Anolis sagrei: one gene and its partners. The protein of the gene in region 1 purifies or fractionates together with the protein of each later gene. This does not show direct contact. Links are inferred from orthologs where the notes say so. Each region holds a gene or a part of one and is shown on either strand. Other genes may lie near its edges. The genes, in order: PRPF3, SART3, CD2BP2 and PRPF19.

Region 1 (8,596 bases):
TCCCCCAAACTCCATCATTGTTTGAGTCCACAATGATCTCTGAATGTAAGTGAACTACAACTCCAAAACTCAAGGTCAATGCCCACCAAACTCTTCCAATATTGTCTGATAGTCATGGGAGTTCTGAGTACCAAGTTTGGTTCAATTCCATCACTGGTGGAGTTCAGAATGCTCTTTGATTGTAGGTGAACTATAAGTCCCAGCAACTGCAATTCCCAAATGTCAAGGTCTATTTCCCCCAAACTCCACCAGTATTCACATTTGGGCATATTGAGTATTTGTGCCAAATTTGGTCCAGTGAATGAAAATACATCCTGCACCTTGGTCAAGGTGGTCCTTGCTCAAGTGGTCCCTGATCAAGGTGGACCCTGCTCAAGGTGGACCCTTGTCAAAGTGGTCCCTGGTCAAGGTGGTCCCTGCTCAAGGTGGACCTTGGTCAAGGTGGTCCTTGCTCAAGTGGTCCCTGGTCAAAGTGGTCTCTGGTCAAAGTGGTCCCTGATCAAGGTGGACCCTGCTCAAGGTGGCCCCTGGTTAAGGTGGACCCTGCTCAAGGTGGACCCTTGTCAAAGTGGTCCCTGGTCAAGGTGGATACTGGTCAAGGTGGTCCCTGGTCAAGGTGGCCCCTGGTCAAAGGGGTCCCTGGTCAAGGAGGTCCCTGGTCAAAGTGGCTCCTGGTCAAAGTGATCCCTGGTCAAGGTGGTCCCTGGTCAAGGTGGACCCTGTTCAAGGTGGATCCTGCTCAAGGTGGACCCTGCTCAAGGTGGACCCTGGTCAAAATGGCTCCTGGTCAAGGTGGCCCCTGGTCAAGGTGGTCCCTGATCAAAGTGGTCCCTGATCAAAGTGGTCCCTGGTCAGGTGGTCCCTCGCCAAGGTGGTCCCTCGTCAAGGTGGTCCCTTGACGAACCACTGATCTAGACACTAGACGTCTATTGATGCATCCTAGAATCACATTGGCCTTTTCAGCTGCTGCATCACACTGTTGACTCATGCAGAAAAAATACAGAATAGTATATACATTTAGGGGGTGTTGTTGTTTCTTATTGCGTCTGGAGGGAAGGCAAGTAAGCATCCGACTCGATCTGTGCTCTTTGACAAGGGGTCTCCTTTCTCCTCTTCTCCAGGGTCCTCACCATGGATGGGATCATCGACGAAGCCAAGCGGCGGCGGTATTACGAGAAGCCGTGCCGCAGGAGGCAGCGGGAGACCTACGAAGCGTGCCGGAATATATATAACACGGAAATGGCTCGGAAGATCAGCTTCATCGCACGCAAGAATCGCGCAGACCCTTGGATGGGTTGCTGAACTCAAGGGTTTTCCGTATTGGAGACCTAACAGCGCATTCCTTTTGGTGGGATTGTTTTGAACCCCCTTAATCATCAGAGTATCTTGGTTTCTTTTTACAGTCTGAAAAATGATGACGCCAATAAAGCCCTTGTGAAAAATCACTTGGTGATTGTGGGATTTCTAGTGGGATGTCCTCATGGTGTTTGATTTTTAAGGGGAGCAATTCGTTAAAATTATTTACATACAATATTTATAATATTATAATATAATGCAATATGATACTACTACTGATATATGATATTATAATTGTATATTTATATTCCATGTAATATTAGTAATAATATTACAATATAATGGTATAGTGCAATATAGTAACATTTAGCAATTCGTTAAAATTATATACATATAATATTTATAATATTATAATGTAATGCAATACATTACTATTAATAATAATATAATATTATAATTATATATTTATACTCCATGTAATATTACTAATAATATTACAATGTAATGGTATAGTACAATAAAGTAATTTTTAGCAATTCGTTAAAATTATATACATAAAATATTTATAATATTATAATGTAATGCAATATAATACTACTACTACTAATATAATTATATATTATTATTTTACTAATAATAATTTTAATATAATTATATATTATTATTTTACTAATAAAAATAATATATCATAATTATATATTTATATTCCATGTAATATTACTAATAATATTACAAAATAAAGGTATAGTACAATATAGTAATATTTAGCAATTTGTTAAAATTATATACATAGAATATTTATAATAATATAATATAATGCAATATAATACTATTAATAATAGGATATTTATATATTTATATTCCATGTAATATTACTAATAATATTACAATATAATGGTATAATACAATATAGTAATATTTAGCAATTCGTTAAAATTATATACATAGAATATTTTTAATATTATAATGTAATGCAATATAATACTAATAAAATTAATATATCATAATTATATATTAATATTCCATGTAATATTACTAATATTACAATGGTATAATACAATATAGTAATATTTAGCAAAATTATATACATATAATATTTATAATATTATAATGTAATGCAATATAATACTAATAAAATAATGATATTATAATTATATATTTATATTACATTTAGTATTATTAATAATATTACATTATAATGGTATAGTAATATTTAGCAATTTGTTAAAATTATATACATATAATATTTATAATATTATAATGTAATACAATATAATACTACTAATAATTATTATATTATATATTTATATTCAATGTAATATTACAAATAATATTACAATGGTATAGTACAATATAGTAATATTTAGCAATTTGTTAAAATTATATACATAGAATATTTATAATATTGTAATGCAATATAATACTAATAAAAATAATATATCATAATTATATATGTATGCTCCATGTAATATTACTAATAATATTACAATATAATGGTAAGAGAAAGAAAGAGAAAGGAAGAGAAAGAGGGAGGGAAGAAAGAAAAAGAAGAGAAAAGAAAGACAAGGGAAGGAAGAAAAATGAAAAGAAAGAGGGGGAAGAAAATAAAGGAAGAGGGAGGAAAGGGAAAAGAAAAGGAGAAGAAAGAAAAGGGAAGAGAAAGGGGAGTGAAGAAAGAAAGAAGAGAAAAGAAAAAGGGGAGGGAAGAAAGGAAAGAGGAAAGAAAAAGAAGGAAAAAGAAAGAAAAGAGGAGGAGGAAGAAAGAAAAGGGAAGAGAAAATGGCGGGAAGGAAAGAACAAAAGGAACAAGAGGGAGGGAAGCAAGAAAAAAAGAGGGGAAGATAAAGAATGAAGAGAGAGGGAAGAAAGAAAAAGAAGGGAAGAGAAAATGAAAGGAGGGAAGGAAGAATTAAAAAGATGGGAAGGGAAAGAGAAAAAGGAAAAGAGGGGGGAAGAAAAAGAAAAAGGGAAGGAAGAAAGATGAGAAGAAGAAGAAAAGAGGGAGGGAACAATGAGTAGAAGAGGGAGGGAATAAAGAAGAAGTGAAAGATAAGATAGGAGAGGGGGGCAGAAAGAGAAAAAGATGGGAAAAAACAAAGTAAGGGGGAAGAAATAAAAATAAGCAAAAGAGAAAGAAAGGAGAGGGAGGGAAGAAAAGAAAAAAAGGGAAGAGAAAATGAAGAAAAGGGAGGGAAGAGAAAAAAGGAAAGAAGAGAGAAGGAAGAATTAAAAAGATGGGAAGAGAAACAGAAAAAAGGAAGAGAGAGAAGAAAGAAAAGGGGAAGAAAGATGGGAAGAGGAAAGAAAGGGAGGAGAAAAAAATGAGAGAAAGGGAGGGAAGAAAGAAAAAGATGAGAAGAGGAAATAAGGGGGAAGAAAGAAAATGGAAGCAAAGAGAAAGAAAGGAGAGGGAGGGAAGAAAGAAAAAGGAAGAGAAAGGAAAGAAAGAGAAGGAAGAATAAAAAGATGGGAAGAGAAAAAGGAAGAGAGAGAAGAAGGAAAGGTGGGAAGGGGAAAGAAGGAGGGGAAAAAGAAAAACGAGAAAGGGAGGGAAGAAAGAAAAAAGGGAAGCAAAAACAAAACAAGAGGGAGAAGCAAAGAGAAAGTAAGTAGAGGGAAGAAAGAAATAAAAAGAAAGGAAGAGGGAGGGAAGAAAGAAAAAGAAGGGAAGAGAAGGAAAGGAGAGGGAGGGAAGAAAGAAAAAGAAGGGAAGAGAAAATGAAAAAGGAGGGAGGGAAGGAAGAAAAAGAAGGGAAGGAAGGAGATGGAGGGAAGAAAGAAATAGAAGGGAAGAGAAAATGAAAAAAGGGAGGGAAGAAAGAAAAAGAAGGGAAGAAAGGAGAGGGAGGGAAGAAAAAAGAAGAGAAGGAAGGAAGAAAGAAAGAAAAAGAAGGGAAGAAAGAAAGAAAAAGAAGGGAAGAGAAGGAAAGGAGAGGGAGGGAAGAAAGAAAGAAAAAGAAGGGAAGAGAAGGAAAGGAGAGGGAGGGAAGAAAGAAAAAGAAGGGAAGAGAAGGAAAGGAGAGGGAGGGAAGAAAGAAAAAGAAGGGAAGAGAAGGAAAGGAGAGGGAGGGAAGAAAGAAAGAAAAAGAAGGGAAGAGAAGGAAAGGAGAGGGAGGGAAGAAAGAAAAAGAAGGGAAGAGAAGGAAAGGAGAGGGAGGGAAGAAAGAAAAATAAGGGAAGAGAAGGAAAGGAGAGGGAGGGAAGAAAGAAAAAGAAGGGAAGAGAAGGAAAGGAGAGGGAGGGAAGAAAGAAAGAAAAAGAAGGGAAGAGAAGGAAAGGAGAGGGAGGGAAGAAAGAAAAAGAAGGGAAGAGAAGGAAAGGAGAGGGAGGGAAGAAAGAAAGAAAAAGAAGGGAAGAGAAGGAAAGGAGAGGGAGGGAAGAAAGAAAAAGAAGGGAAGAGAAGGAAAGGAGAGGGAGGGAAGAAAGAAAAAGAAGGGAAGAGAGGGAGGGAAGAAAGAAAGAAAAAGAAAAGAAAGATGGGAAGAGGAAAGAAAGAAAGAAAGAAAGAAAGAAAGAAAGAAGGAGGGAAGAAAGAGAAAACGAAGGGAAGAGAAAGGAAAGAAAGGAAGAAGGGAGGGGAAGGTGTTCTCCATGTGTTTTGGACTTCAACTCCCACCATTCTTTACAGTCTATTAGGATTTGAGGGAGGAAGGCCCAAGTTTGGCCTGACATACAGACTAGGCTTAACTATTGGAAGAAAAGGAGAGCGCCTCCAGCCAATCAGAGCCGCGTCGCCATGGCGACCCCGCTGCGGCGGAAGAGGCGGGGCTTTCCTGGCCGCGGAAGTCCCGCCTCCGAGCGAGAGTAGGGAAAACGTACGCCTCCAGCAAGCAGCTTCCGCTTCCGCTGGGCGACGACCTCGCAGCGCCGTCGAGGGAGCGGGTCTGGAGAGGAGAAGGAGGCGGGAAGGAGGCGGAAGGAGACTCCGAGGACGGGTGAGCCAGGCGGGGAGGCCGCGGAGGCGCCTCAGGGGGAGGAAGGCCCGGCTCCTTCCTGAGGGAAAAGGGGCAAGGCCTGAGGAGCCCCTCAGAGCCGGGCCCTCACCTAAGGGGGGGATGGAGAGGCCTGCCTGGCAGTGGCAGGTTCAGAACGCCTTTAGAGGAGAATCTTCTCTTGTGGGAGACAACCAGGTGCCATTAGTGGGTTGCTGTGCGTTTTCCGGGCCACGTTCCAGAAGCATTCTCTCCTGACATTTCTCCCACAATAATAATAACATCACACAGTCCTAGACACTTGGGAAGTGTTTGACGTGTGATCCAATTCAAGAGCTAGCAGAGTGTCTGCTGTGGACTCATCTTGTTGTGTTTCTAATAATAATAATAATAATAATAATAATAATAATACATCACACAGTCCTAGACACTTGGGAAGGGTACGACGTCTGATCCAATTCAACAGCCACTGTGGACTCATCTTGTTGTGTTTCTAATAATAAATATAATAATAATAATAATAAATAGTCCTAGATACTTGGGAAGTGTCCGACATGTGTGATCCAATTCAACATCCAGCAGAGTGTCTGCTGTGGACTCATCTTGTTGTGTTTCTAATAATAAATATAATAATAATAATAATAATAATAATAATAAATAGTCCTAGACACTTGGGAAGTGTCCGACATGTGTGATCCAGTTCAACAGCCAGCAGAGTGTCTGCTGTGGACTCATGTTGTGTTTCAAATGATAATAATAATAATACATCACACAGCCCTAGACACTTGGGAAGTGTCCGACGTGTGATCCAATTCAGCAGCCAACAGAGTGTCTGCTGTGGAGTCATCTTCTTGTGTTTCTAATAATAATAATAACAATAAATACATAATAATAATAATAATAATAATATTAATAATACATCACACAGTGGTAGACACTTGGGAAGTGTCCGACATGTGATCCAATACAACAGCCAGCAGAGTGTCTGCTGTGGACTCATCTTCTTGTGTTTCTAATAATAATAATAATAATAATATATCACACAGTCCTAGACACTTGGGAAGTGTCTGACGTGTGATCCAATTCAACAGCCAGCAGAGTGTCTGCTGTGGACTCATCTTCTTGTGTTTCTAATAATAATAATAATAATAATAACAACAATAATTCTTTATTGATTAGTCAATTTTGACCATATCAAAACATACAAAACATACACACTTGCCCATACATACAGTAAAACCATATATGAATACAAGGCATCCCGGCCTACTAGCCTGTCAACCCACTCCTAAATGATTGTGCAACTACAAGATAAAAAAAATAAAAGATTAAAAATTGATTAATTCCTTAAAGTAGGGTTTGGGCAGGGGCGCGGGTAGGTAAAACTAGTGGCATGTCCATATTAAGTTTTTAAGCTTGAATTTTGTTGATGGCAGCAAGGTCACCTCTATCTGCTTCCATCTTCTCGTGGATGGCCAGTGCTTTTTGCGTAAACAGGGTCAATTTTAAAATAGAGTTTTAATCTGAACTCTGTAGGAAGATGTGCAATTTCTCCTTATTCTCTAAATGAGTAAATTATAATAATACATCACACAGTCGTAGACACTTGGGAAGTGTCCGACGTGTGATCCAATACAACAGCCAGCAGAGTGTCTGTTGTGGACTCATCTTGTTGTGTTTCTAGTAATAATAATAATAATAATAATAATAATAATAATACATCACACCGTCTAGTAGTAGTAGTAATAATAATAATAATAATAATAATAATACATCACACCGTCCTAGACACTTGGGAAGTGTCCAACGTGTGATCCAATACAACAGCCAGCAGAGTGGCTTCTTGTGTTTCAAATAATAATATAATAATTGAGATGCCAAACGGACAAACCATAAAGTGCAATCAGCCCGAAGCCTATAAATATCTGGGGATACTATAGTTAGACAATATCAGGCATGAGCATGTGAAAAAGTTGGCCACCAAAGAATATATCCAAAGAGTCAGAAAGATTTTGAAGAGCAAGTTAAATGGCGGAAATACGATCAAGGCTCTCACCCCTGGGCCATCCCTGTCATTAGATACACTGCTGGGATTGTGAACTGGACACAAGCAGAGCTGGATGATCTGGACAGAAAAACCAGGAAACTGATGACAATCCACTCCTCATGACACCCGCATAGTGATGTCAACAAACTTGACCTGCTCAGAAAATCAGGAGGCAGAGAGTGGGCTTCTGCAAGTGAAACAAACAGTAGAAGAAGAGAAGCATGCCCTGGCAGATGATGGGAAAGGCAGTCAAGAACCAACATTGAGGGAAGTCAAGAGTAGTAAACCGCTTCAAGTGCAAAAGACAAAGAGGGAATACCGTAAAAACACAATCCAGAGCAGAAGAGAAAACTGACCAAAGAAGGCTCTCCATGGACAATACCTGGGAAAAATTGAGAGCCAAATTGACAAAGAAAAAACATGGCTGTGGCTCAGAAATGGGACTCTGAAAAAGGAGACAAAGGAGGGCCTGATTCTGGCAGTCCAAGAACAAGCCATTAAAACCAAGGCCATCAAAGCCAGAATTGAAAAGTCGACAACAGATCCCAAGTGTAGACTCTGCAAGGAAGCCGATGAAACAATAGATTTCATCCTGAGCTGCTGCAAGAAAATTGCGCAGACAGACTACAAGCAGAGGCATAACACCATTGCTCAGATGATTAATTGGAACTTGTGCCACAAAGACCATCTGCCTGCGACAAAGAACTGGTGGGATCACAAGTTACACTAAACAAACACGTCAAACTCATCTGGGACTTCCGAATTCAGACTGACAGAGTTCTGGAGCAAAATACTCCTTGACGTCACAATTATTATTATTACTACTATTATACTGTGAGCATTTGCATTTAGTTTTTGGTGGCAACATGAGTGGTCACAGGCCGATATGGTTGGTGTAAAGAATGCAGCCTCTCTTTTTTACTTATCAATGGTTCTGTGTAAGTTTTAGGGCCCTTCCACACAGCCATATAACCCAGAATATCAAATCAGAAAATAATAATATATAATAATAATAATAATAATAATAATAATAATAAGAAGAAGAAGAAGAAGAAGAAGAAGAAGAAGGAGAAGAAGGAGAAGAAGAAGAAGCTACTCTGTGACTTCTTGATTCAGATGGACAAGGTTTTGGAGCACAATACTCCTGACCTCACAATAGTGGAAAAAAACAAAGTATAGATTGTCGATGTTGCAATCCCAGGTGACAGCAGGATTGAAGAGAAACAACTGGAAAAGCTGACACGATATGAGGATTTAAAGGTCGGACTGCAAAGACTCTGGCACAAACCAGCCAAGGTGGTCCCAGTGGTGATTGGCACAC
Region 2 (7,803 bases), on another chromosome or scaffold:
CCTCCACTGATGATGGACCTGGACCAAACTTGGCACACAGATCTTCCATGACTAACTCAACCTACTGGAGAGTTTTGAGGGAACTGACTCCCCATAATGGGAGTTGCAGTTTACCCTAAAGCCAAAGAGCACACTAAACCCCACCCGTGATGCATTTAGAGCAAACTTGCCCAACATAACAAACTTTAAGTACTGATTGAGCTTTTGGGGTTAACCTGGCATGATGAGAGTTGTAGTTTACCCACAACCTCATGAATTTTGTACAATTTTTCAAATAACCCGGGCAATGCCGGGGACCAAAGCCAGTTAAAGAAAAAACAATGACATTTAAAAACTGCAACAAAGAGAATGAGGCAATGGAAGTAGGATGAAATCCATGCCATGTGCTGTTGAAGGCTTTCATGGCTGGAATGACTGGATTGCTATGAGTTTTCCGGGCTGCCTGGCCATGTTTCAGAAGCATTCTCTCCTGACGTTTCGCCCACATCTATGGCAGGCATCCTCTTACGTTGTGAGGTCTGTTGAAAACTAGGCAAGTAGGGTTTATACAGGGTGCGACAGCATAACTTCCTTTTTTAAAATGCGTGCCATTCAGTCGGTTGAAGACGTAACGGAGCGCTAGTGGTCTCATTCAAGAGGCGGGAGTATAAAGTTTTGTCCTGACACAGTTCAGTCGCCATCCTGCGTTGGAACAGTGAGGAGCGTGCTTCTGCCGTTGAGGCCTACTTTTCGAGCGGATGTTCTGTGATCGCAACCCAGCGCGCCTTTCGGATTCGCTTTAATTTAGCCCCATTGGCCCCTGTCCCAGACGGAAATCAATTGTGACGTGGGTCACTACATTCAGACAAACTGCAAGTGCGACAAAACAAAGAACTGGAGTCCCTCGGCCCATTAGATCACCTGAGAACATTGAGGCAGTGAGAGCTTCAATGTTGCGATCACTACGGCGTTCTGCGCACAAACATGCGTCTGCCCTTGGACTTCCCGATCGTTCTGTGAGGAGAATTCTTCATGATGATCTTCATTTCCATCCTTACAAGATGGCGATTGTGCAGGAACTTTCTGAACATGACTTCAATTCTTGGAGGAACGCGTGTGAGGTTCTTCTCGAAGTCATTCCTGAGGACACTATTGGGGTTTTTTTAGTGATGAAGCCCATTTTCATTTGTGTGGATCCATCAACAAACAAAACATGCGCTACTGGGCTGACAACAATCCTCGAGAATTGCATCAAAAGCCTTTGCATTCACCTAAAATCACAGTGTGGTGTGCAATTTCCTCAGCTGGAATTATTGGTCCCTGGTTCTTTGAGGAAAATGAAATTGCAGTGACAGTTAATTCGGACTGGTATGTAAACATGTTACAGGAATTTTTTTCCTAAGGCTAGATGGGTTGGATTTAGGGGACATTTGGTTCCAACAAGACGGTGCAACTGAACACAATTCAAAAGCATCTATGGCTGTTTTGAGGGAACACTTCCCAGAGCGCCTCATCTCAATTAGGGGGGATTTGGAGGGGCTGGCCCGCTCTCCAGATTTGGCCCCTTGTGATTTTTTTTCTATGGAGTTTTTTGAAATCCCGTGTTTATGTGAACCCTCCAAGGACCCTACAAGATTTGAAGACCAACATCCAGGAAGAAATTGCCAACATAACGCCTGCTATGCTGGCAAGAGTCATGACAAATGCTAGAAATCAGTTTACTCAGTGTATGGAGAATGGGGGACATCACCTACCTAATTTGATCTTCAAAACTACGTAAAACAAAACTTTAGGTATGCACCTACATTATAAAAAAATTCTGATTCATACAATGGGTTTTATTAAGTTTTGAAAAAAGGAAGTTATGGTGCTTCACCCTGTATATCTGTGAAATAATGTCCAAGGTGGGAGAAAGAACTCTTGACTGTTTGAGGCAAGTGTGAATGTTGCCACTTGCCAGCTTGATTAGCATTGAATAGCAGTTTCAAATCCTGGCAGCTTCCTGCCTGGTTGGGAGGTGTTTGCTGACCCTGATTGCTTCCTTTCTGGATTTCCCCTGTTTATTAGAGTTGTTCTTTATTTACTGTCCTGATTTCAGAGTGTTTTAATACTTGTATCCTGATTTTGTTCATATTCATGGTTTCTTTCTTTCTGTTGAAATTGTTCACGTGCTTCTTGTGGATTTCAATGGCTTCTCTATGTAGTCTAACACAGAGATAGTGGAGGTATTGTGGGGTAAAAATGCAGTAAATAAAATAATATATATATACACACACAATGTATATAATTACATTATGTATTTATATACATTATGTATATATATATATATTATTTATAGATATTTATATACATATTATTATACTTACATTGGTGATAGTATGATAGCTGGGTCCAGAAGCTCCGAGCGTTACGCACATTCCGCAATGGCGGTTGTGAATAAGGGAAGGGGAGATCGGCACACTGAGGGTGGGACTATACTTCGTAGTTACATTTGGTGGAAGGATAGAATGGAGGGGAAGGTTAGGATAAGGTAAGGGTTAGGAATAGGGTTTGGGGTCAGGTAAGGATTAGGATTAGGGTTAAGGTAAGGTTTAGGGTTTGGGTTAGGGTAAGGTTTAGGGTTCGAGTAAATAAATAAATAAATAAATACCATTAAAGAACTCTTACATGCCTTCTATAATATTTGTGTTCCGTTTTGCGTTGCGCAAACAGCGCTCCCGAAGGAGCAAAGCGGAAACAGTGTAACACTCTGAGCTTCCAGACCCAGCCTTCATACTATTCCCCTTACATTTATATTATATAGATAACATGTATAATTATATTATTTTTATATTATTTTATATATTATATTAATATTGTAAAATATAAGGCTATTAAGGTTATCCATTAAATGTATATATTATTTATATATGATTATTAGTTATATTTTAATATCATTATTCATACTATTATATCTCTGATCTCTAGATTGAGGCATATTTTTTTAAAAAACCATGACATTGAAAACCTGCATCAAACAGAAGGAGGCATTGGAAGTTGGATGCAATGCAAGCCATGCTTCCTCAGGGGGCGTGGTCTCCCATCGCGAAGCCCCGCCCCGCGCGAAGCCCCGCTCCGGGGCCCTCACCTGCTCTTCCAAGCGCTGAATTTCAGCCTGGTTCTCCTTTTCCTCGTCGGCCTCCGAGGAGTCTTCGGACTCCAGTTCCTCGTCCCCTTCCGAGCCTCCTGCGGCCCACAACGACGCCTCAGCTTCGCCGCCGTCCGCCATCTTTCTCCGCCGTTAAGCCCTTTCAGCTGTCTAATCCACTGCCTGACGGGAAATGACGCGACTGTTTTGGCCGCCTGCATCTTTCCAGCAAGCGGTCCGTTAGACGCCTCTGCTTGGGGGCTTGAAGGAAGGTCAAACTATGTCCTTTCCGGAAGCACGGCTTAGGATGCCGGGGCGGCCATCAAGAGTGTGTCAGTTTCCTTGTCCTTCAATGGCAGCCTATGCTTGCTGGCCCTTGAAAGAAGCATAGTAACAATAAAAATATGCCAATATTAATCAAATAAGAAGAAGAATTCTTCCAACTCTCAACAAGGATGGGATCGATTTTAATCTTTCCATGTTGCGGATTTTAAATTGTACTTTAATGTGATTTTATTATTAATATCATTCCAATAATAATAATAATAATATGACGTGTGATCCAATATATCAGCCAGCAGAGTGATCTTGTCTGCTGTGGACTCATCTTGTTATGTTTCAAAGATCGATGCTTTTGAGCTGTGGTGTTGGAGGAAAGTGCTGAGAGTGCCTTGGACTGCGAGAAGATCCAACCAGTCCATCCTCCAGGAAATAAAGCCCAACTGCTCACTGGAGGGAAAGATACTAGAGACAAAGTTGAAGTACTTTGGTCACATCATGAGGAGACAGGAAAGCCTAGAGAAGACAATTATGCTGGGGAAAGTGGAAGGCAAAAGGAAGAGGGGCCGACCAAGGGCAAGATGGATGGATGGCATCCTTGAAGTGACTGGACTGACCTTAAGGGAGCTGGGGGTGGTAACGGCCGACAGGGAGCTCTGGCGTAGGCTGGTCCATGAGGTCACGAAGAGTCGGAGACGACTGAACGAATGAACATTAGTATTATCATTATTGGAATATTAATATTTATTATCACATTAAAGATTCTTAATTGTAATTTAATGTGATATTATTATTAATAATGCAATAATAATAATAGTACAATAATATTGGAATAATACTGTTATTATTATTGGAATATTATTATTAATATATTATTCAAATTAATATTACTAATAATATTAATAATGATAATTCCATTAATAATAATTCCAAGTCCCAGCAAACACACGATGAATGTTAATCTTTGTATGTTGTGAACTTTAAACTTTATTTTCATGTGATATGCTTGCTGGGGCTTGGAATCATTATTAGAATCATAATAATATTGGAAAAATTTTATATTTATTTATTTATTTATTTATTTGATGCATTTATTAACCGCCATTCTCAGCCCTTTAGGGCGACTCATGGCGGTGTACAACACATATAAAAAGGCAATTTACAAAGAGGCAATTACAACAACATATTAACAATACAACAATTACAAAAATTACACTAAAAATCCGCTTCGTCTCATAGTGGAATCATAACCAATCTCATATTCCTTGTTCCTTTCCAGTCGTCTTTACCACATTTTTATAGCACTTAATTAAATGCCTTCTCGAACAGCCATGTCTTAAGGCTTTTTCGGAAGGACATAAGGGAGGGCGCCTGTCTGATGTCTGCAGGGAGAGTCATTCTTTAGAGTCATTCATTATAGTCATTCTTAGAATGATAATATCACATTAAAATACAATTTAAAATCCGCAACATACAAAGATTATTATTATTCAAATAACATTATTAATAATCTATTATTATCCCAATAAAATTAATATATTGGAATAATATTATTAATAATATAACATTAAAGTACAGTTCAAAATCCACAACATACAAAGATTAACCTCGACCCTGTACTTGGTGGGACTTGGAATTATTGTTATTGGAATAATAATATTGGAAGTTTGAGAAAAGAACCTCTGGAAGGTAAAGGCTTAACTCCTGACCGCGTTTCCCCCCCCCCCCCCCCCTTTTGCTGGGCTTAGCGAAGGGAGTGACGACACAAGGAGGCGTGACCTATGGCGCCCTTGCGGCTCTTCCCCTGGCGGCCACGCCCCCGGGGGCCACGCCCCCGTTGCCCTCCACTGTCCTCTGTTCAAAACATTCAAGATGGCGGCGCTTCGGGCAAGCAGCGTGCGCAGCGCGGCGGCAGCCCTTCTGCGGCCTCGCCCGGGCCCGGCCTCCACCTCCCTGGTCGCGGGCTACCACGAGAAGGTGAGCCCGAGGCTTCCTCCGCTTCTAGGCCCAAAAGAAAGCTCGGCCTCGCTGGCCTTTGGAAGCCCCTTCTTGGCATTTGGGACTTCGAGTCCCAGAAGCCTCGGCTGCCTTGGCCTGTGGCCGAGCATTCTGGGAGCAGCAGTCCCAAGCACTTTGGAGGCCGGGGAAACTAGTTAGGGTCAGGAAAGATATTGGACACATCTTGTAGGATATTTGTGCGCATGCGCCGCTCAGAGCCTTCTTTGGGAGAGAAGAAAAGGGATAGTAATAATGCTAGTGATGATAATCATAATAATTATGATAACAATCATAATAATATAATAATAATGGTAATACTACTGGTTATGATAATGGTAATAAATACTAATCATAAGAATGATAATATTGATGATAAAAATTATAGTAATAATACTGATGATGATATTGCTAATAATACTGATGATAATGGTAATAATAATGATAATTGTACTACTACTGATGATAATAATGGTAATCCTGATGATGATAATGTAATACTGATTATGAAGATGATAAGTATAATGGTAATAATACTGGTGGTAATAATGTTAATGGTACTAATACTGACGATAATAGTAATGGTAATAATAGTGTTTGTTGTTGTTGTTATTTGTTCAATCACTTCCGACTCTTTGTGAACTCAAGCTCCCTGTCGGCCGTGGCCACCCCCAGCTCCTTCAAAGTTAAGCCAGTCACTTCAAGGATAACATCCATCCATCTTGCCCTTCGTTGGCCCCTTCCATTTTTCCCAGCATGATTGTCTTCTCCACGTTTTCCTGTCCTTTCATGATGTGGCCAAAGGACTTCATCTTTGCCTCTAATATCCTTCCCTCCAGTGAGCAGTCGGGCTTTATTTCCTGGACTACGGACTGGTTTGATCTTCTCACGGTCCAAGCCACTCTCAGAATTTTCCTCCAACACCACAGTTCAAAAGCATCTATCTTCCTTCACTCAGCCTTCCTTATGGTCAACCTCTCACATCCATATAATGCAATTGCTTTAACTATGCGGATCTTTGTGGCTAGTGTGATGTCTCTACTCTTCACTATTTATTGAGATTGATCATTGCTCTCCTCCCAAGAAGTAAATGTCTTCTGATTTCCTGGCTGCAGCCTGCATCTGCAGTAATCTTCGTGCCTAGAAATACAAAGTCTGTCACTGTCTCCACATTTTCTCCCTCTATTTGCCAGTTATCAATCAGTCTGGTGGCCATAATCTTGGTTTTTTTATGTTTAACTGCAACCCAGTTTTTGCACTGATGATGATGGTAATAATAATGATAATGGTACTAATGCTGACAGCAATAATAATGGTAATAATACTGATAATGATAATGAAAATGTTACTAATACTGACTATGATGATGATGATGATGATAATATTGATGATGGTAATAATGATAATGGTTCTAATGCTGATGATTATGTTAATGATAATAGTTCCTAATTGCATCTAGATTGAGCCCATAGACTGCGATGAGGACAGTTCCTCTTCCACTTGCTGAAATATATTACTAATATCCCTAATAAATAATAGCCAGGCCTCTTTTTCGGGGCTGCCCATGTGGAAGGGAAGCCCTAACTGGTAGGGCAGCACCAGGTTGGTTTGGCTTGAAAGTAATAGGCCCAAGTGGATCCTTGGAATGACTGTGGTGGGCCTTCATGTGGCACAACCATGAACCTGGGACCCCAGGTCTCAGCGGTGGCCGGGGGAGCATTCGCACAATTATAACCTGTGCGCCAGCTGTGCCCATATCTTGGGAGGTCTGACTTGGCCACGGTAGTTCACGTTCTGGTTATTTATTATTTACATTATTTCTATCCCGCCCATTTCAGCCTGAAGGCGATTCAGGGCGGTATACACAGTCGGCACAATTCGATGCCGAAACAAAATACATACATTGATAAAGCAAAAACATCAAGTGGAATTAAACATAAACGACAGTGCATAATAAACAATTTAAAAAGAGACTATGTCCTGTCATTCAAATCTTCATCGATTACATTGTCTTGGCCGTTCCTGGGTCAATTTCCAACTCTAGTTTGTCTGTTTACTCCGGGGTTCCGAATGCTTGCTCGGAGAGCCAAGTTTTTACTCTTTTTCGGAAAGTCAGGAGGAAGGGGGCTGATCTAATATCCCTAGGGAGGGAGTTCCACAGCCGGGGGGCCACCACAGAGAATGCCCTGTCTCTCGTCCCCGCCAGACGTGCTTGCGAAGCAGGCGGGATCGAGAGCAGGGCCTCCCCAGACTATCTTAAGTTCCTGGGGGGTTCGTAGGGAGAGATGCATTCAGATAGATAGACTGGGCCAGAACCATTTAGGGCTTTATAGGCTAAAGCCAGCACTTTGAATTGAGCCCGGTAGCAGACTGGCAGTGAGTGGAGCTGATTCAACAGAGGAGTTGTATGCTCCCTGAGCCCC
Region 3 (8,496 bases), on another chromosome or scaffold:
TGTGGCACAGCAATTCGATCGGGTTTTTCAGCCCTTAAAAATAAATTAAATAGAGCTGCAATAATTTAAACAGTTTTTCCCTCTGGCAGACTTGTGCAATCTTCCCACCTTTATCCAAATTTAATATAAGCTGGTTGTATTTGTTAGAAAATGAATAAAAAATAAAACTATACAGTCGTTATAGAAATGTATTGTCAAAGGCTTTTATGTCCTGAATCATTGAGTTGCTGTAAGTTTTTTGGGTTGTATGGCCATGTTACAGAATCATTCTCTCCTGACACTTTGCCTGCATCTATGGCAGGCATCCTCGGAGGTTGTGAGGACTCTCTGAGGATGCCTGCTTCTGGAGCAAGGCCATACAGCCCAAGAAAATTACAGCAACCCATTATAGAAATGTATGGTACTTTATACTTGGAATGGCATAGTAGGGTAAGGTATAGCAAATACTTTTATTGAATACAGTTATAGTCAGTGCATGTTTATGCCTTACAGAATATTTTAAAGGTAAAAAGTGTATTTTAAAAGGGATGTTCCAATGATGCAAAGGGCAGAAACAACACCCCTAAAATTATAGGTTTAGGTTAGAAAACAGGTGAAGTACAAAATTGTGCATGGTATAGGGAAAGTGAACAATCAAAAGTTTTTTCTTTTCTCTTTGATACTACTGAAAACAATGATTATCAGCAGAGTTAAATGGCAGGAGACACAGTTCTTTCTTCTCTACCTATTCTTGGACTGTAACTCCCAGCAGTCCTCCTGATCGATCTATCTACCTACCTACTCATCTCTATGTAATCTATCTATCTGGAGGAGTTGCCGTCCAGGAATAGGAAATTGGAAAAACGCAGGGATTGGGATGCTCTCAAAGAAATCCGAGGAGAAGAAAGCTTGCAGGTTGGAAGCAGTGCATTTGGATCATCCTCCTCTTCTAAAGGGCCGGGTCTAGGTGATACTGGGAACTGTAGTCCAAAAGAGAGTCTGGATATGCTATTGTGTGTTTTGTTTGCCAGGTGGAATTGTTTTTGCCCATGTGCTGTAGCGTCGTTCTGCTTTTTTGACTTTTTAAGTCCCTTCCGTTGTATTTTTCAGTGTTTGCATGAGTGATGGTCACCCGTTGGCCTGATAGGTGTATTGTGTCCAAATTTGGTGTCAGTTCATCCAGTTGTTTTTTTAGTTATGTTAATCCCACAAACAAACATTACATTTTTATTTATATAGACTAACTGAATCCGCCACGCGTTGCTGTGGCCAACCTTCCCTCCTTTTTCCCTCCTTCCTTCCCTTCTTTTTCTTTCCCTTCTTCTTTCTTCCTTCTCTACCTGTTTATTTCCTCCCTTACTTTGCTCTTTGGCTCCATCCTTCCTTCTCTCTTTCTTTCCTTATTTCCTTCCTTTCCTCCCTCTTTCTCTCCTTGCCCTCTCTCTCTTCCCTCCCTTCTTTCACTTTTTTATTACCTTCTCTCCTTCCTTTCTCCTCTACCCTTCCTTCTCTCCTTCCCTCTTTCTCTCCTTCCTTCTTTCCCCCTTTCTGTGTATATGTGTTTTGTGTGTGTAAATAGGCATATATGTGTGTGTATATAGTTGTGTACATGTGTATATATGTGTTTCCATATATATGTGGTTTCGTGCATCCGTTGTAATGTAATTTTTAGTGGCTTTTTAAGTCTTTTCTGCTATTTTTCAGTGTTTTTATGAGTGATGGCCACTTGCTGGCCTGATAGGTGTATTGTGTCCAAATTTGGTGTCAATTCATCCAGTGGTTTTTGAGTTATGTTAATCCCACAAACGAACATTACATTTTTATTTATATAGATTGTTGTTCTCTGTCTAGATCTATGAGAAGAGGCTGGTATGAAGAATAAGAAATAATAATAATAATAATATAAACAACAATAGTGTGGTAGAAACCTTTTTTGGCAGTTTTTAAACAGAGGCTGGATTCTCATCTGTCGGGGATGCTTAGATTGTGATAGATAGATACATTTTATTGATTGGCCTATTGGCCGTATCAAAACATTTAACACATAACACATTTAACACATAACACATTTAACACATAGTCATACAACATACAACCCTCGGTATAAGAGAGGTTAAAATAAAAGAGGTTAAAATAAACAAACTGTTGGCAGATCCCGTTCAGGTCAAATATCTGTGTCACCTCCACAGTTTACCCCAATTGATTCTAAATGTGCAATTCTCAGCTGTGTTGCTTTGAATAGAAAAAGGGCTGTTTTGTGTGTTATTTTAGGATTCTGGCCGGCCAACAAAAATGAAGTTTTAATATGTGGGTCCCAGTGTGTTTTGTGAATAATGTATGGTTCAAGGCAATGGTCTCTCTCTTTCTTATACAGCTCACAGTTGAGCAGAACATGTGTGATATCCTCCACCTCTGATGCTCCGCAAATACAAACTCGTTCGTTGTATGGGCCCTGATTAAACCTTCCGTGCTTGACCATTGAATCCAGCTGCTCAAAACGAGCTCTGGTAAATACCCTCCTAAGGTGTTTTGGCATATCTGTTTTTAGATATCGAGCTGTTTGGAAAGTGTGTTTAAAGCGGCTTAACCATTTCAATGAGCCAGCTTTACTGAGGGTAGCAATGTCTTTTTGGCCTTCTATATCCAATACTCGTTGAGCAACTATTTTTGGGTCTAGCTCTTTTAAGAGGTTCGGATACCGAGTCGGGAGTCCACAGCTCCTAATATATTTTGTCAGGAGAACTAGCCAAGAGGACTGATGTTGATTTTCTTTCTGCTCCAACAGGATTGTGCTTTTCCTGCATGGCAGGGGGCTGGACTAGATGGCTCTTATAGTCCCTTCCAAGTCTATGCTTCTAATACAGGCATGGGCAGAGTTGGGTCTTTGAGGGGTTTTGGACTCAACTCCCACCATTCCTAACAGCTTCAGGCCCCTTTATTTTCCCCCTCAGCCGCTTAAGCGGCTGAGGGGGAAAATAAAGGGGCCTGAAGCTGTTAGGAATGGTGGGAGTTGGAGTCCAAAACCCCTCAAAGGCCCAACTCTGCCCATGCATGTCCTAATAATATTATATACTATGCAGACATAGATCTGACTAGAGAAAGCCCTGCCACTCTTTAATGGGGGGTGGTGTGGAAGCCCCCAAGGCCTAGTCCTCCCTCCTGGCCTCTGCTAATGACAATATGCAAATCCCCTCTCCCCCCTAAAACTTATGGAGCCAACTCTCACCTCTGCGCCTCTGCAGCACGCAGGCAACTCTCACTGGGAAGGAATCAACATCCGGGTCCTGCCACCATTCGAAGCCGATGCCACAACAGGACGGCTAGAGGACTGCCCCTCTTTGGCGCATGGGAAGTGACGTCAGCTCCTGGCAACCTGTGGCTTCGCTAGAACTGAGCAGCGCTGCTGAGGCCAGTGCGGGCAAGCCTTAAAGGCACAGGACTCGTTTGTTTCAATGGAATCCTATGAGTTGGAAGAGACACCCAAAAGGGCCATCCAGTGCAACCCCATTCTATGAAGAATACATACTTAACAAAACACTCCTGACAGATGGCCATCCAATCCAACCTCCAGACTTCACCATGTTCCCCCATTCTGTGCAGGAATGCATACTTATCCAAGCACTCCTGACAGATGGCCATCCAATTCAAGTCTCCAGAGAAGGAGACTTCACCACAGTCCCCCGTTCTGTGCAGGAATATAAACTTATCAAAGCACTCCTGACAGATGGCCCTCCAATTCAAATCTCCAGAGGAGGAGACTTCACCACATTCCCCCATTCTGTGGAGGAGTACATACTTATCAAAACACTCCTGACAGATGGTCATCCAATTCAAGTCTCCAGAGAAGGAGACTTCACCACAGTCCCCCATTCTCTGCAGGAATACATACTTATCAAAGCACCCCTGACAGATGGCCATCCAATCCAACCTTCAGAGGAGGAGACTTCACCACATCCCCCCATTCTGTGCAGGAATACATACTTATCAAAGCACTCCTGACAGATGGCCCTCCAATTCAAATCTCCAGAGGTGGAGACTTCACCACATTCCCCCATTCTGTGCAGGAATACATACTTATCAAAGCGCTCCTGACAGATGGCCATCCAATCCAACCTTCAGAGGAGGAGACTTCACCACACTCCCCCATTCTGTGCAGGAATACATACTTATCAAAGCACTCCTGACAGATGGCCATCCAACCCAATCTCCAGAATAGGAGATTTCACCACACTCCTCCATTCTGTGCAGGAATACATACTTATCAAAGCACTCCTGACAGATGGCCATCCAACCCAATCTCCAGAATAGGAGATTTCACCACACTCCCCCATTCTGTGCAGGAATACATACTTATCAAAGCACTCCTGACAGATGGCCATCCAACCCAATCTCCAGAATAGGAGATTTCACCACACTCCCCCATTCTGTGCAGGAATACATACTTATCAAAGCGCTCCTGACAGATGGCCATCCAATCCAACCTCCAGAGGAGGGGACTTCACTACACTCCCCCATTCTGTGCAGGAATGCATACTTATCAAAGCACTCCTGACAGATGGCCATCCAATCCAACCTCCAGAGGAGGAGACTTCACCACACTCCCGGGCAACGTAGAAACATAGACCTCATGGGCCATCCAGTCCAACTCCCTGCCAGGAAGTAGGAAAATTGCATTCAAAGCACCCCAGACAGATGGTCATCCAACCTCTGTTTAAAACCTCCAAAGAAGGAGCCTCCACCACATGTTGGAACAACTCTTACTCTTAGCGAGTCCTTCCTTATCTCTTTTCCTGCCATTTGAATTCATTACTCCATGTTTGAGGCCTCTTCCACACAGCTCAAAAAATCCCACATCTGCTTTGAACTGGAATATGTGGCAGTGTGGACTCAGATAACCCAGTTCAAAGCAGACAATGGGATTTTCTGCCTTGATATTCTGAGTTATATGGCTGTGTGGAAGGGCCCTGAGGCTCTTTCTATACTACCCTTTAACCCAGGATCTGATCTCAGATTATCTGATTTAAACTGGATTATATGAGTCTCCACTGCCAGATAATCTGGGATAAGCAGGTAATCTGGGATCATATCCTGGGTTTATAGGCGCAGTGTGGAAGGGGCCTTGAGGCTCTTCCAGACAGGCCCTATATCCCAGGATCTGATCCCAAGTTTTCTGTTTATCCCAGATTATCTGGCAGTGTGGATTTATATAATCCAATTTAAAGCAGAAAACCTGGGATCAGATCCTGGGATAGAAGGCCTGCCTGGAAGGGCACTAAGTCTCCAGAGCAGCAGAAAACATGCAGACTCATCTTCAATGTGACATTGAAGTTGTGTCCAACTCGGGGGGTTGGTGCTCATCTCCATTTCTAAGCCAAAGAGCCGGTGCTGTCCGTAGATACCTCCAAGGTCATGTGGCCAGCATGACTGCATGGAGTGCCGTTACCATACCGTCGGAGCAGTACCTATTGATCTACTCACATTTGCATGTTTTCGAACTGCTAGGTTGGCAGAACCTGAGGCTCACAGGGGAAACTCACGCTGCTCCCTGGATTTGAACATGCGACCTTTCAGTCAACAAGCTCAGCAGCTCAGCGCTTTAACCCACTGCGCCACCAAGGGCTCCCGTATTTAGACATAGTTACACACAATAAAAATAACGTATAATAATAACTTTATTATTATACGTTAATAATACGTATAATTATTAACGTATAATAATGTAAGCCGCCCTGAGGGGGACTCAGGGCGGCTTACATGAGGATGAGCCCGATCAAAATAGTTAAAATAAAACACATTAAAATACATCAACAACAACATAAACAAAATAAAACAACCTTACAATAATAATATAAAAGAGGATAACAACCAGCAATCAATAAATCTGCAATAATAAACAGTTTCTGGACACAACATAGGAGCCCCCAGTGGCACAGCAGGTTAAACTGCTGAACTTGCTGACCAAAAGGTTAGCAGTTTGAATCCAGAGAGCAGGATGAGCTCCCGCTGTTAGGCCCAGCTTCTGCCAACCTAGCAGTTCGAAAACATGCAAATGTGAGTAGATCAACAGGTACCACTTCAGAGGGAAGGTAAGGGCACTCCATGCAGTCATGTCATTGAAGATGAGTGATAGTAGCAATAGAATGTAAATCAAAATTCATGACTGAAAGTTGACTAGGGAGGCATATACCATAAACACATAGCCCGGAGGTAACTTTATGCACAGAATTTTGAATTATTGTTTGATGCAATAAAGCCTTTGCACACTGAACTATCTGAAAACAAAGGTGCGGCATCCCAGCCCCCAGGTGGACAATTTGGGTCTTTGGAGCATTTCAGTTTCCCAGACACTAAACCTAAACTGCATTATTTCAAATTTAAACATTAAGGAGAAATTATATCTTTATGCTTAAAACTTTGTTGAGCCAAGGTTATTTTATGGCATGTGTTCTGTTTAAAGAGTTTACTGCCACAAGCTGCTTTGGAGGCAGCATTAAAAGCAGTGGCACATCCAGGAAATATATCTAGACCTTAGAAGCAGCAGTGTTTAATTATAAAGATTAAATGGAAACTCCATAGACAAGCACAACGTATTTTGTGTTATTTTCTTTCTTTTAAATTTCATAAAAATCTACCCACAGAAGCCTCAGAAAAGCAATGGAACTGGACATCTCTCTCTCCTAAAACGATACAACGCACCATCAAATCGTTCCTGCCCATGCAAATCACCAAGCTGTTATTAATTGACAACAGTCTAAAGAATATATGATACCAAAGATGGGTTCTGACAAATTGTAATCCTTTATAGCAGTGTTTCTCAACCTTTCTAATGCCACGGACCCTTAATACAGTTCCTCATGTTGTGGTGACCCCAACCATAACATTATTTCAGTTGCTACTTCACAACTGTACTTTTGTGAGTACTATGAATTGTAATGTAAATATCTGATATGCAGGATATATTTTCATTCACTGGACCAGATTTGGCAAAAATACCCGATATGCCCAAATTTGAATATTGGTGGGCTTGCGGGGGGGGGGGGGGGGACTGGTTTTGTCATTTGGGAGTGTAGTTGCTGGGAGTTATAGTTCGCCTCCAATCAAAGAGCATTCTGAACTCCACCAACAATGGAATGGAACCAAACTTGGCACACAGAACTCCCATGACCAACAGAAAATACTGGAAGGGTTTTGTGGCCACTGTCCTTGAGTTTTGGAGTTGTAGTTCACCTCCATACAGAGAGCGTTGTGGACTCAAACAATGATAGATCTGGACCAAACTTGACACAAATATTCAATATGCCCAAATGTGAACACTGCTGGAGGTTGGGGAAAATAGACCTTGACATTTGGGAGTTGTAGTTGCTGGGATTTATAGTTCACCTACAATCAAAGAGAATTATGAACTCCACCAACAATGGAATTGAATCAAACTCGGCACACAGAACCCCCATGACCAACAACAAATACTGTGTTTTCTGATGGTCTTTGGCGACCCCTCTGACCCCCCCTTGTGAACCCCAGATTGAAAAATGCTGCTTTATAGAGTCCAGTATCAACTCAAATTAAGCTTCTTTTGCTCTACATTTCCCACAACAATTTGTTCTTAACAACAGTTTCATTCACTTCTTGAAATAGGGTTCTTTAGGACCAAAGAAAACTTTGCTTGAAAAAATATTCCAGTACACATTTAGGGGTTTGTTTTTTTTTACTTCCTCTTCTCTAGAGCTGCTTGTTCTTCCTGCTTTTGGAGAGCAACATGAGAGAAACAGTCAAGACGCTGTCATCAAACTGTGTGATTGCTTTACCCTCCAGCCTTCCTGGAACACGGGATCAAGTGACTTCTAACACTACCTGGATGGCAGGTAAATGCAGGTAAATGCAAGCCCCTCCTCTTCACCTGGGAAACTATTCTTGTGGAGCAATGAAGGAAGTGGAGTGACCTGAAGGAAAGTCTTAAGGGGAAGAGCTGACTTTCAAAGGTAAGGGGCATTCAATGTCTCAAAAATCCTCAAAAACTGGCTCAGAATTTGCCAGGGACCCTGCTCTCATCAACTTACGTCAACTAAAAAAGGAATTTATTTCTTACATCTCTGTCTCTCAACTTTATATTTTGAGATCAAATTTTCCATGTTTTCATTCTCGAACTCTTCCACCCATTATCCACACATTCTTCTCATTCATCTCTCCTGGTTTCAAACACTAATCTTCCTAAACATCACCCTTCTTTTAATTCTACAACTTATTTAAAAGTTTATTTTCAAGACCCTTGTCTGTTTATGCCTGCATGTCACTATTAGTTTGCTCATTCCACAACTTTATTTCCATTTATTTGTTCTTCTATTTTGTTCAAGTATTTTTGCTTGGTTTTTAAAATTCCACTTTCAAATGGATGAGCTGTATCTAACATTGTTCCTCTTCTCCTGCTTTCTCCCACCCTCATAAATTTTAATTTTGCTCTCGCTTCACACATTTCTGCTATTGTCATCTTTTACCTCTGCCCTATTTTTCTTCCATCCC
Region 4 (7,793 bases), on another chromosome or scaffold:
GAAAATTGATCACAGTGGGCAGGGCCAATTGCAAAAGATAAAAAAATTTTAAAACTCTGGGTGAGAGATCAATGTAATGTATCAGGACAGGGGATCCGGAGGACAAAGTAGGGTTTGATTGCACTAGATGCAGTCTCAGTTCTTCCTCTCAATTCCCCAAGTTTTGCTTTTTTGTGTTGTCAAAGGCTTTCATGGCCATAATCACTGAGTTGCCGTGGGTTTTCCGGGCTGTATGGCCATGTTCCAGAAGCATTCTCACCTGACATTTCACCCACATCTATGGCAAGCATCCTCAGAGGTTGTGAGGTCTGTTGGAAACTAGGCAAGTGGAGTTTATATATCTGTGGAATGTCCAGGGTGGGAGAAAGAACTCTTGTCCGCTTGAGACAAGTGTGAATGTTGCAATAGTCTTGCAGCTTCAAAGCCTAGCTATTTCCTGCCTGGGGGAATCCTTTGTTGGGAGATGTTAGCTGGCCCCAATTGTTTCCTGTCTGGATTTCCAGCTATGTCTCTGTGTGATAGGTAATGCTGTTTTATGTATTGTGTTTAATAATGTTTATTTTTTTATTAGAGGAGGGCCAGTTTTAATGTTTTATACTGTTTTTATCGATGGCATTGAATTGTTGCCAACACACAACCGCCCTGAATCCCCTTCGGGATTGTGAAGGGCGGTATACAAATATCACAAATAATAAATAAATAATATCCCCTGGTTTTTTTAGTGTTTTGCCCACATCTGTGGCAGCTAACACAGGCAAGGGCAAACTTCTGCCCTCCAGGTGTTTTGGACTTCAATTCCTACAATCCCTAACAGCCGGGGGGGGGGGGGGGAGTTGAACCAGCTGTGGGAGTTGAAGTCCAAAACACCTGGAGGGTTGAAGTTTGCCCATGCCTGAGTGGATTCCTCCAGGCAGGAAGCAGCCAGGCTTTGAAGCTGGAAGGCTATTCAATGCTAATGAAACTGGCCAGTTGCAACATTCACACTTGCCTCAAACAGACAAGAGTTTTTTCTCCTACCCTGTACATTCCATAGATCTATAAATCCCACTTGCCTAGTTTCCAACAGACCTCGCAACCTCTGATGCCTGCCATAGATATGAGCGAAATGTCAGACCATGCTTCTGGAACATGGTCATACAGCTCAGAAAATTCACAGCAACCAACACTTTGCAAGAAAAAATTTGCAAGAAAGAAATTGCAAGAAGGGAGTGGAAAGCAAATATAAAAATGTAAACACTGTGCATTTGTTTTATTTACTTATTTTGTTTTTTATCCTGCCTTTCTCCTGATATATAATGATAAATAGGGTACAATGCAAGTTAAATAAATGTAAATGAATTAAAATATAAGTATATAAAAACACGATTAAACCCTTTGTGTCATCAAATATAAAAACATTAAAATACATTACAAACTAAATCCCAGTCACCTTACACCCAGCAGTCCACCTTTAATCATTTCTTATAGAGTCAGATTTATTTAATTTATTTTTTTTTAAAAAAATCTGCTCTAATCCTTTCCCTCCACTACGTTGTGCATTTGATGAATTTTGAGGAAACTCTGATCCATATAATCTTAAGAGATTGTCTCTATGTATAAGTGCTCTGTGGTTTGTGTCATCACCATCCGGGCTCAAAATTGGTTACAGGACTTCCTATGTAATCGTCTGCACAGCAAAACCAGTTTGTTTGTTTTTTCTTCTTTTAAAAATCTTTTTGCTTTTTTATTGTAATGTATTCATAAATTACTCATCCACAATCCTTCTTGGACGTTTGGTGGTTTAAATTCGCCATTGCTTTTACACATGAAACTAATAAATGGTTTCCAGGTTTTATCAAATAGATTTTCTTTCAATTCACTTTTTTGCTAATCTTAATTTATATATCTTAATTTATAAATTAACTTTTCTTATAGAGTTATCACCCACATCCCGTTTAACCAGCTCTTTATTGTCAGATCCTCTAACTTTTTTCCAGGTTTTCACAATTTTGAGTCTTGTGACACATAACAGGAGTAGTATTTTTTTATTATTTACCACAGAACCTTATTCTCACTTTTGAATACCCAAATCGGTACTGTTCCATTATCCAGACAAAGGCCACCAGGGGGCAGTAGAGAGAGAAGGATAGTCTATTTTATGGGGAGGGGGGAGTTGAAGGAGGAAAACCACTTCCCCCATTTTGCTGGTTATTCCCCCTCTCTCTTTCCCCACTCCTCCCCCCAAATGGACTATCCTTCTCTCTCTAGTGCCCCCTGCTGGCCCCCGCGTGCATAATGAAACAATACCCAGAAATCATTTATAGAGCTCCCCTGAAGTGAAGTTTCCCCACTACTTGGCTTATGCATGATAGCACTTCCTCCCAGAATCTCCATACTTTATGCACATTAGCCACATGTGGCTCCAATCCCATATTACTCTCCAGTATGGGATCCCATATTACTCTCCAGTATGGGATCCAATATTATTCTCTGATCCCATATTACTCTCCAAGTAAAGATTCTATTGATTTTATGTAGTTTGAGTGGATAATGGTACCATCTATGCATAATTTTCAGAGTATTTTCTTTCAGTTGTGCTGAAATTGATATATAAGATTGGATTTTCCAAACTGAGTTCCATTTTCTCCTCTATTTAAACCCTAAATCTAATTCCCATATTAATCTCAATCCATTCAATGATCCAATTTTGCTTCCTGAATTGTCTGACATATTTTTGAGACTTGACCTTTGGTTTATCATTGCAGATTTATTCAAATTACAGTGCACTTGGGGGTGGGGACTTCATTTCTGATTATTGCAAGCATTTTCTTCAATACCAGTTTGACACTGCATTAAATGGTAAGTGTACTTGGGACCCCCAGTTCATTTAAGAAGGGTGACATTAGTTGGTTGCTGGGCTTGTAGTTTAGGGGAGGGGGCCTTTAAATGCTCAGCCAGAGAGGTCCTGGGTCTCACTGAACTACAACTCCCTGTGTATGTAAGCCTCCTTGAGTCCCCTATGGGGTTGAGAAGGTGTATAAATGGGACAAATAAATAAATAACGCCTGGAATTCTGCAGGAGGCAGCACAAGATTTCAGATGCTTTGCCTACTCTTTAAGCTCTAGTAATGCCATATACATAGGGCCACCATAAGTCGAACTCAACTTGACAGCAGCCAATTCCCCATGCAGACCTCTCCTGATTGTTGTTGTTCATTCGTTGTCGTTTCTGACTCTTCGTGACCTCATGGAACAGCCCACGCCAGAGCTCCCTGTCGGCCGTCACCACCCTCAGCTCCTTCAAGGTCAATCCAGTCACTTCAAGGATCCCATCCATCCATCTTGCCCTTGGTCAGCCCCTCTTCCTTTTTCTTTCCATTTTCCCCAGCATCGTCTTCTGTATGCTTTCCTTTCTTCTCATGATGTGGCCAAAGTACTTCATCTTTGCCTCTACTATCCTTCCCTCCAATGAGCAGTTGGGCTTTATTTCCTGAAGTATGGACTCCTCAGATCACAACTGTGAATTATAGAGTGCAGCTGCATGTAGAAATTTCATGTTTTGTAGTCTAGAATGCTGAGAAGCTGTAATTTTAGACCTCGAGTTAGGGCAAACAAGCTCTTTCTACCTTCTACATCTGGATGGGATCCTTATTATCCAAACACAATTTCAACTAAAATTCTACCCTTCTTCCTTTGTTTCCTTAATGCCTCTGTAAAAAGGGGGAAGGAAGATTCAAGAGGCAACTGAAGACATAGGCCTAATGTTTAAATCCATGCATGTACGCGCCTTCAAACCACCTCATAGATTTCGCAGGTTTCTTCTTGGTTTGGCCAGTTCTTTCCTCTGAGATATAACCTACGGTGCCTGGTATTCCTCGGCGGTCTCCCATCCAAGCACTAACCAGGGCTGTCCCTGCTTAACTTCAAAGAGGTTGCTCCCTCTGGTGTATTATTTGGCTCTCTGCAGGATAATGATAATAACTGCCTTGGCTAAAAGCTATAGGTATCTGGGCTTTGTCTTTTTGTGAGAAATCCACTCTTCTCTGCCAGAGAGCTTCTTTGCCACAACAAACTTCAAATCCCAGAATTCTACGGGATTGAGCAATTTCAGTCAAACCCGTGTCAAGCGCTACAATTCGGTCGTGCGGCTCCCCTCTAAGAGGCGCTCTGTGTCCGCGGTGCATGCTGGGAGCTGTAGTTGACGGAACGCTCAGCCCAAACCGGAAGTACTCGCGTGGGACCGTTAGGCCTTGCGGCTTTGGCAGCGCACGTGACGAGGAAAGTCGGAGGGGTCCATTTCCGGCCGGGGCAACCTTCTCCCGCGCGCGCTGCAGCTCGAGTTGAAAGGCGACCGGAAGCAGAACCTTCCCCTTCGCTCTAGTGGCCCGGAAGCAGCCGTAAGGCCCATGTCGAGGAGGCGCTCGCCATGTCCCTCATATGCTCCAGTGAGTGAACCGCTTTCATTCCCCTTTCGGCCCCACTCTGTGTCTTGTCTCCCCTTCATAAAGTCGGCCGAGAAAAGAGTGCCAGGCAGGGCTATTCTGGTTTAAGAAGAGTGATGGGAAGGCAAAGCGGGCGCACTTGGGGTGCATTTCCATAGAGACTTGTGAAAAGGTTACGCGGTTTGCCTCGTTCTTTGTGTCCGTTTCTATGGAGGCCGAGCTCCCAGGCACTTCGGCTGCTTTGCTGCAGCAAATGGGAGGTTTGCTCTGGAATTCCCGCCTGAATGGATGAAGGGCTCCGTACATTGGTCGAAAAGGGATCAAGGCAACTCGAATTGTTGATTTGGGGCAATGAAAGGCTTATACTTGCGTCGGGTTTTCTGCTCTTTCCACTCCATAGCCCTTAATGGGCATTGCTCTGTTTTAAGCCCTGTATTTCCGAGGGGGTTTTGTTAAAAAGAGCAGCTTTTCTCAGGTCTCCACGTGCATTTGTGGTAAACATGAAATTTGAATTAGGGATTTCTATATTGGGCTTCTATTTGCAATGCTTCTCCTATTCTCATCTACATTGTAGAATTAATGTATTTTGAGACTGCTTTAACTGCTATGGTTCAGTGCCAAGGAATCCTGGGAGTTGTAGTTTGGTGAGGCAGCATCACTTTGGCAGAGAAGGGCAAAGGCCTTGTAAAACTACAACTCCCGTGATTCCATAGCATTGAGCCATTGCAGGTAAAGTGGGGTCAGACTGCATTACTTCTTCGGTTTAGACCAGTGTTTGCCAGTCTTTAGTCCTCCAGGTGTTTTGGACTTTAGCTCCCACAATTCCTAAAAGCCAGTAAACTGGCTGGGATTTCTGAGAGTTGAAGTCCAAAAAACCTGGAGGACCAAAAGTTTGGGAAACACTGGTCTAGATGCAGTCAAAGTTTCTTTGGGATTTCTCTGACTAGTATTGGGTTCTTTTATAATCCTGCACATGGTTTTTCTGAGGTCCTGCTGTGTCTACATACGTATCTCTCTGTGTATATATACACATGCACACACATAAACTTGGACTATGACTCTGGAGACCAGGGTTCGAATCCATGAAAACCCACTGGGTTATCCTGAGCCAAGCACACACTTTCAGCCGACTGACCTTTGTGATACGGGCCTCTTCCACACAGCTGCTTTGAACTGGGATATATAGCAGTGTGGACTCAGATCACTCAATTCAAAACAAATATTGTAGGGTATTCCGCCTTGTTATTCTAGTTTATTTGGCTGCGTGGAAGGCCCACAGTCACAGAAAATGACTTGAAGACACACAATAACAAAACTTTAGCCATAATGATCTAGGTTTTAAGCCTAAATAGTTTACTAGTCCTGTTGAAGCTATGGAGCTGTTACAAAAGAGAGGATGGATACTTGTTTTCTGGTCCCTCCAGGACAGGACAATCTAGTCCACATAAGTTGCAGGAGGGAAGTTTTCAAACTTGACTCTTGGGGAAACTTCTCACTGATAAGAGCAGTTTGATAATGAGAATGATTTCCTAGATTTCTGGGGTGATACTATTAGTTGTGCCAGGCAGCAAGGAGCCATACAGTCCTAGCATGTTTTTTCTAGTTCTTGTAGCCTGCAACCACAGTAGATAAAAAAATACTTATGCTGAATGATATCATCTTATTAGTGAAACAAAATCAGTAAGATGAGGGACTCTTTTTTGCTGGCAGTCCTCACCGAACTGGAGAGCTATTTTTGAGGATGCTTTAGCTCTAGAATTCCTACATGAGTGAATTTAGTGAGGAACTGGGTAGCCCATAAGATTCCCTTCCATTGTTATAAACAAGAATATCCTTGGTATTGGTCTTAATTGTCTGGTTGATGCTTAAATAGCTTGCTGATTGTCATCTTGCAAGCATTGTCCTTCTTACCTTTCACTTCATTAAAAATCCACATTTTTCTCTGATTTTCAGACATAGAGATGCCATGGGACAAGATAGCTTTCTTTGTCAAAGGTTCATTTGAAGAGGATTTTTTTCATCTGTTTATTTTATTTTTTCCTACCTTTCTACCAATATAAGGACATAAGGTGGTTAACAATAAATATAAAATCATACCAATAAAACAGTTCTAACCCATAAATAAAAAGTATAAACATAAAATTAAAGAAACAACAAGATTCATGTTACTACAATAATTCCCATTAAAATATTAAAATGTGTGTGTGTAAATATAGTTCTTTATGTATTTTCAACTATTAACTAATTAATAACTAGCATGGTGTAGTAGTGGTTTGAGTGTTAGACTAGGACCAGGGTTCAAATTCCTGCTGGGCGATGGAACCTAACTAGATGACTTTGGGCAAGGTTTATTCTTTCAGACAAAGAGAGAGTAGAAAGGGTTTGGCACTTCTTTTAGGTTATCCCGGGACAGACTACATTCTTACCTTTTGCCACTACTGAGAGAAAAGGATGCTCCCCCCCTTTTAAATTGCATTTAAGGTACAGTGTTTATGTTGACTTATATGTATGTCAACTCAGTTTTGGGGGGATTCATCTTTTTAAGTAAAGTTTTTAGACTTATGTGTGTGTATATGTTATAAAGCAACATTGTCTGAACAGCTGTGCTGGCATGATTTCTTACAGATAGAGATTGATGACTTACCCCAAATGGGCAGATCAGTGCATTGCTGTTTTAGAGTGTTGAATGAATACTTGAAAGGGACTTTGTAGTGTAGTTCCATACATTGTTGTTTTCATATGCCCTTATTAAATATCTGTTGTTCATCAAAAAGCTCCAATATATGAGGAAGGACCATTGCCTTCAAATGAACCTCAAATAGCTATTCAGGGATGTGTGGCAATATTACCTGGTGATAGTTACGTGTAAGAATAGCCTATGGGCCCCCTGCATTCATTGTGTGGAAATAGATTGTGTGAACCTCCTTTATCTCAAAACTAAGCTCAACAGTTACTAGAACACATTTGATCTGAATGAGTTATAAACTGATCTTACTGAAATTTAAAGCATGCAATATGACAAGGATCTCAAGATTATGTAGGCATTATTTTTTTCTTTTCAACTTGCATCAGCTTTTGATTTCCCATCTTAATCAGCCTGTTCATCAGACTTTACTCTCAGGTGATTGCCATAATGGAAATGCCTTTTTATGATAATGTATTGTGAAATACGTCTTCAGGAATGCACCTATTTTTTATTTTAGATTCTGTTTAAATGTATAACTGTCCCAATTAAATTTATAACTTTACCATCTGATCATGAAAGCCTTATTATAATTTCTTACCTTGTACTGTATGTCGTCCCTTAAAAGATCCCATGATGAAACATAAGTTTTAAGATTTCCGAACTGTGTATCTTTATGCATTTCTTTA

Evidence for each region.
Region 2: the proteins of PRPF3 (region 1) and SART3 purify together in Homo sapiens (affinity purification with mass spectrometry; 5 studies listed by BioGRID and IntAct, counting the BioPlex papers as one, with this or other methods). This does not show direct contact. The link is inferred for Anolis sagrei from reciprocal best matches to the Homo sapiens genes PRPF3 and SART3.
Region 3: the proteins of PRPF3 (region 1) and CD2BP2 purify together in Homo sapiens (affinity purification with mass spectrometry; 3 studies listed by BioGRID and IntAct, with this or other methods). This does not show direct contact. The link is inferred for Anolis sagrei from reciprocal best matches to the Homo sapiens genes PRPF3 and CD2BP2.
Region 4: the proteins of PRPF3 (region 1) and PRPF19 fractionate together in Homo sapiens (co-fractionation; 3 studies listed by BioGRID, with this or other methods). This does not show direct contact. The link is inferred for Anolis sagrei from reciprocal best matches to the Homo sapiens genes PRPF3 and PRPF19.

What each region holds. Positions count from the first base shown.
Region 1 is NC_090032.1:6,002,127-6,010,722, forward strand, and holds the start of PRPF3 (U4/U6 small nuclear ribonucleoprotein Prp3), read left to right. Parts: upstream 1-5,108; 5' UTR 5,109-5,231; intron 5,232-8,596. Other genes in the region: MRPS21 (small ribosomal subunit protein bS21m), read left to right, coding at 1,122-1,302. UniProt on the Homo sapiens protein: Plays a role in pre-mRNA splicing as component of the U4/U6-U5 tri-snRNP complex that is involved in spliceosome assembly, and as component of the precatalytic spliceosome (spliceosome B complex).
Region 2 is NC_090034.1:29,968,243-29,976,045, reverse strand, and holds the start of SART3 (squamous cell carcinoma antigen recognized by T-cells 3), read right to left. Parts: upstream 3,294-7,803; 5' UTR 3,248-3,293; coding exon 3,107-3,247; intron 1-3,106. Other genes in the region: iron-sulfur cluster assembly enzyme ISCU, read left to right, coding at 5,258-5,362. UniProt on the Homo sapiens protein: U6 snRNP-binding protein that functions as a recycling factor of the splicing machinery. Promotes the initial reassembly of U4 and U6 snRNPs following their ejection from the spliceosome during its maturation.
Region 3 is NC_090026.1:16,297,001-16,305,496, reverse strand, and holds the start of CD2BP2 (CD2 antigen cytoplasmic tail-binding protein 2), read right to left. Parts: upstream 3,329-8,496; 5' UTR 3,206-3,328; intron 1-3,205. UniProt on the Homo sapiens protein: Involved in pre-mRNA splicing as component of the U5 snRNP complex that is involved in spliceosome assembly.
Region 4 is NC_090021.1:235,750,731-235,758,523, reverse strand, and holds the start of PRPF19 (pre-mRNA-processing factor 19), read left to right. Parts: upstream 1-4,257; 5' UTR 4,258-4,405; coding exon 4,406-4,424; intron 4,425-7,793. UniProt on the Homo sapiens protein: Ubiquitin-protein ligase which is a core component of several complexes mainly involved pre-mRNA splicing and DNA repair. Required for pre-mRNA splicing as component of the spliceosome.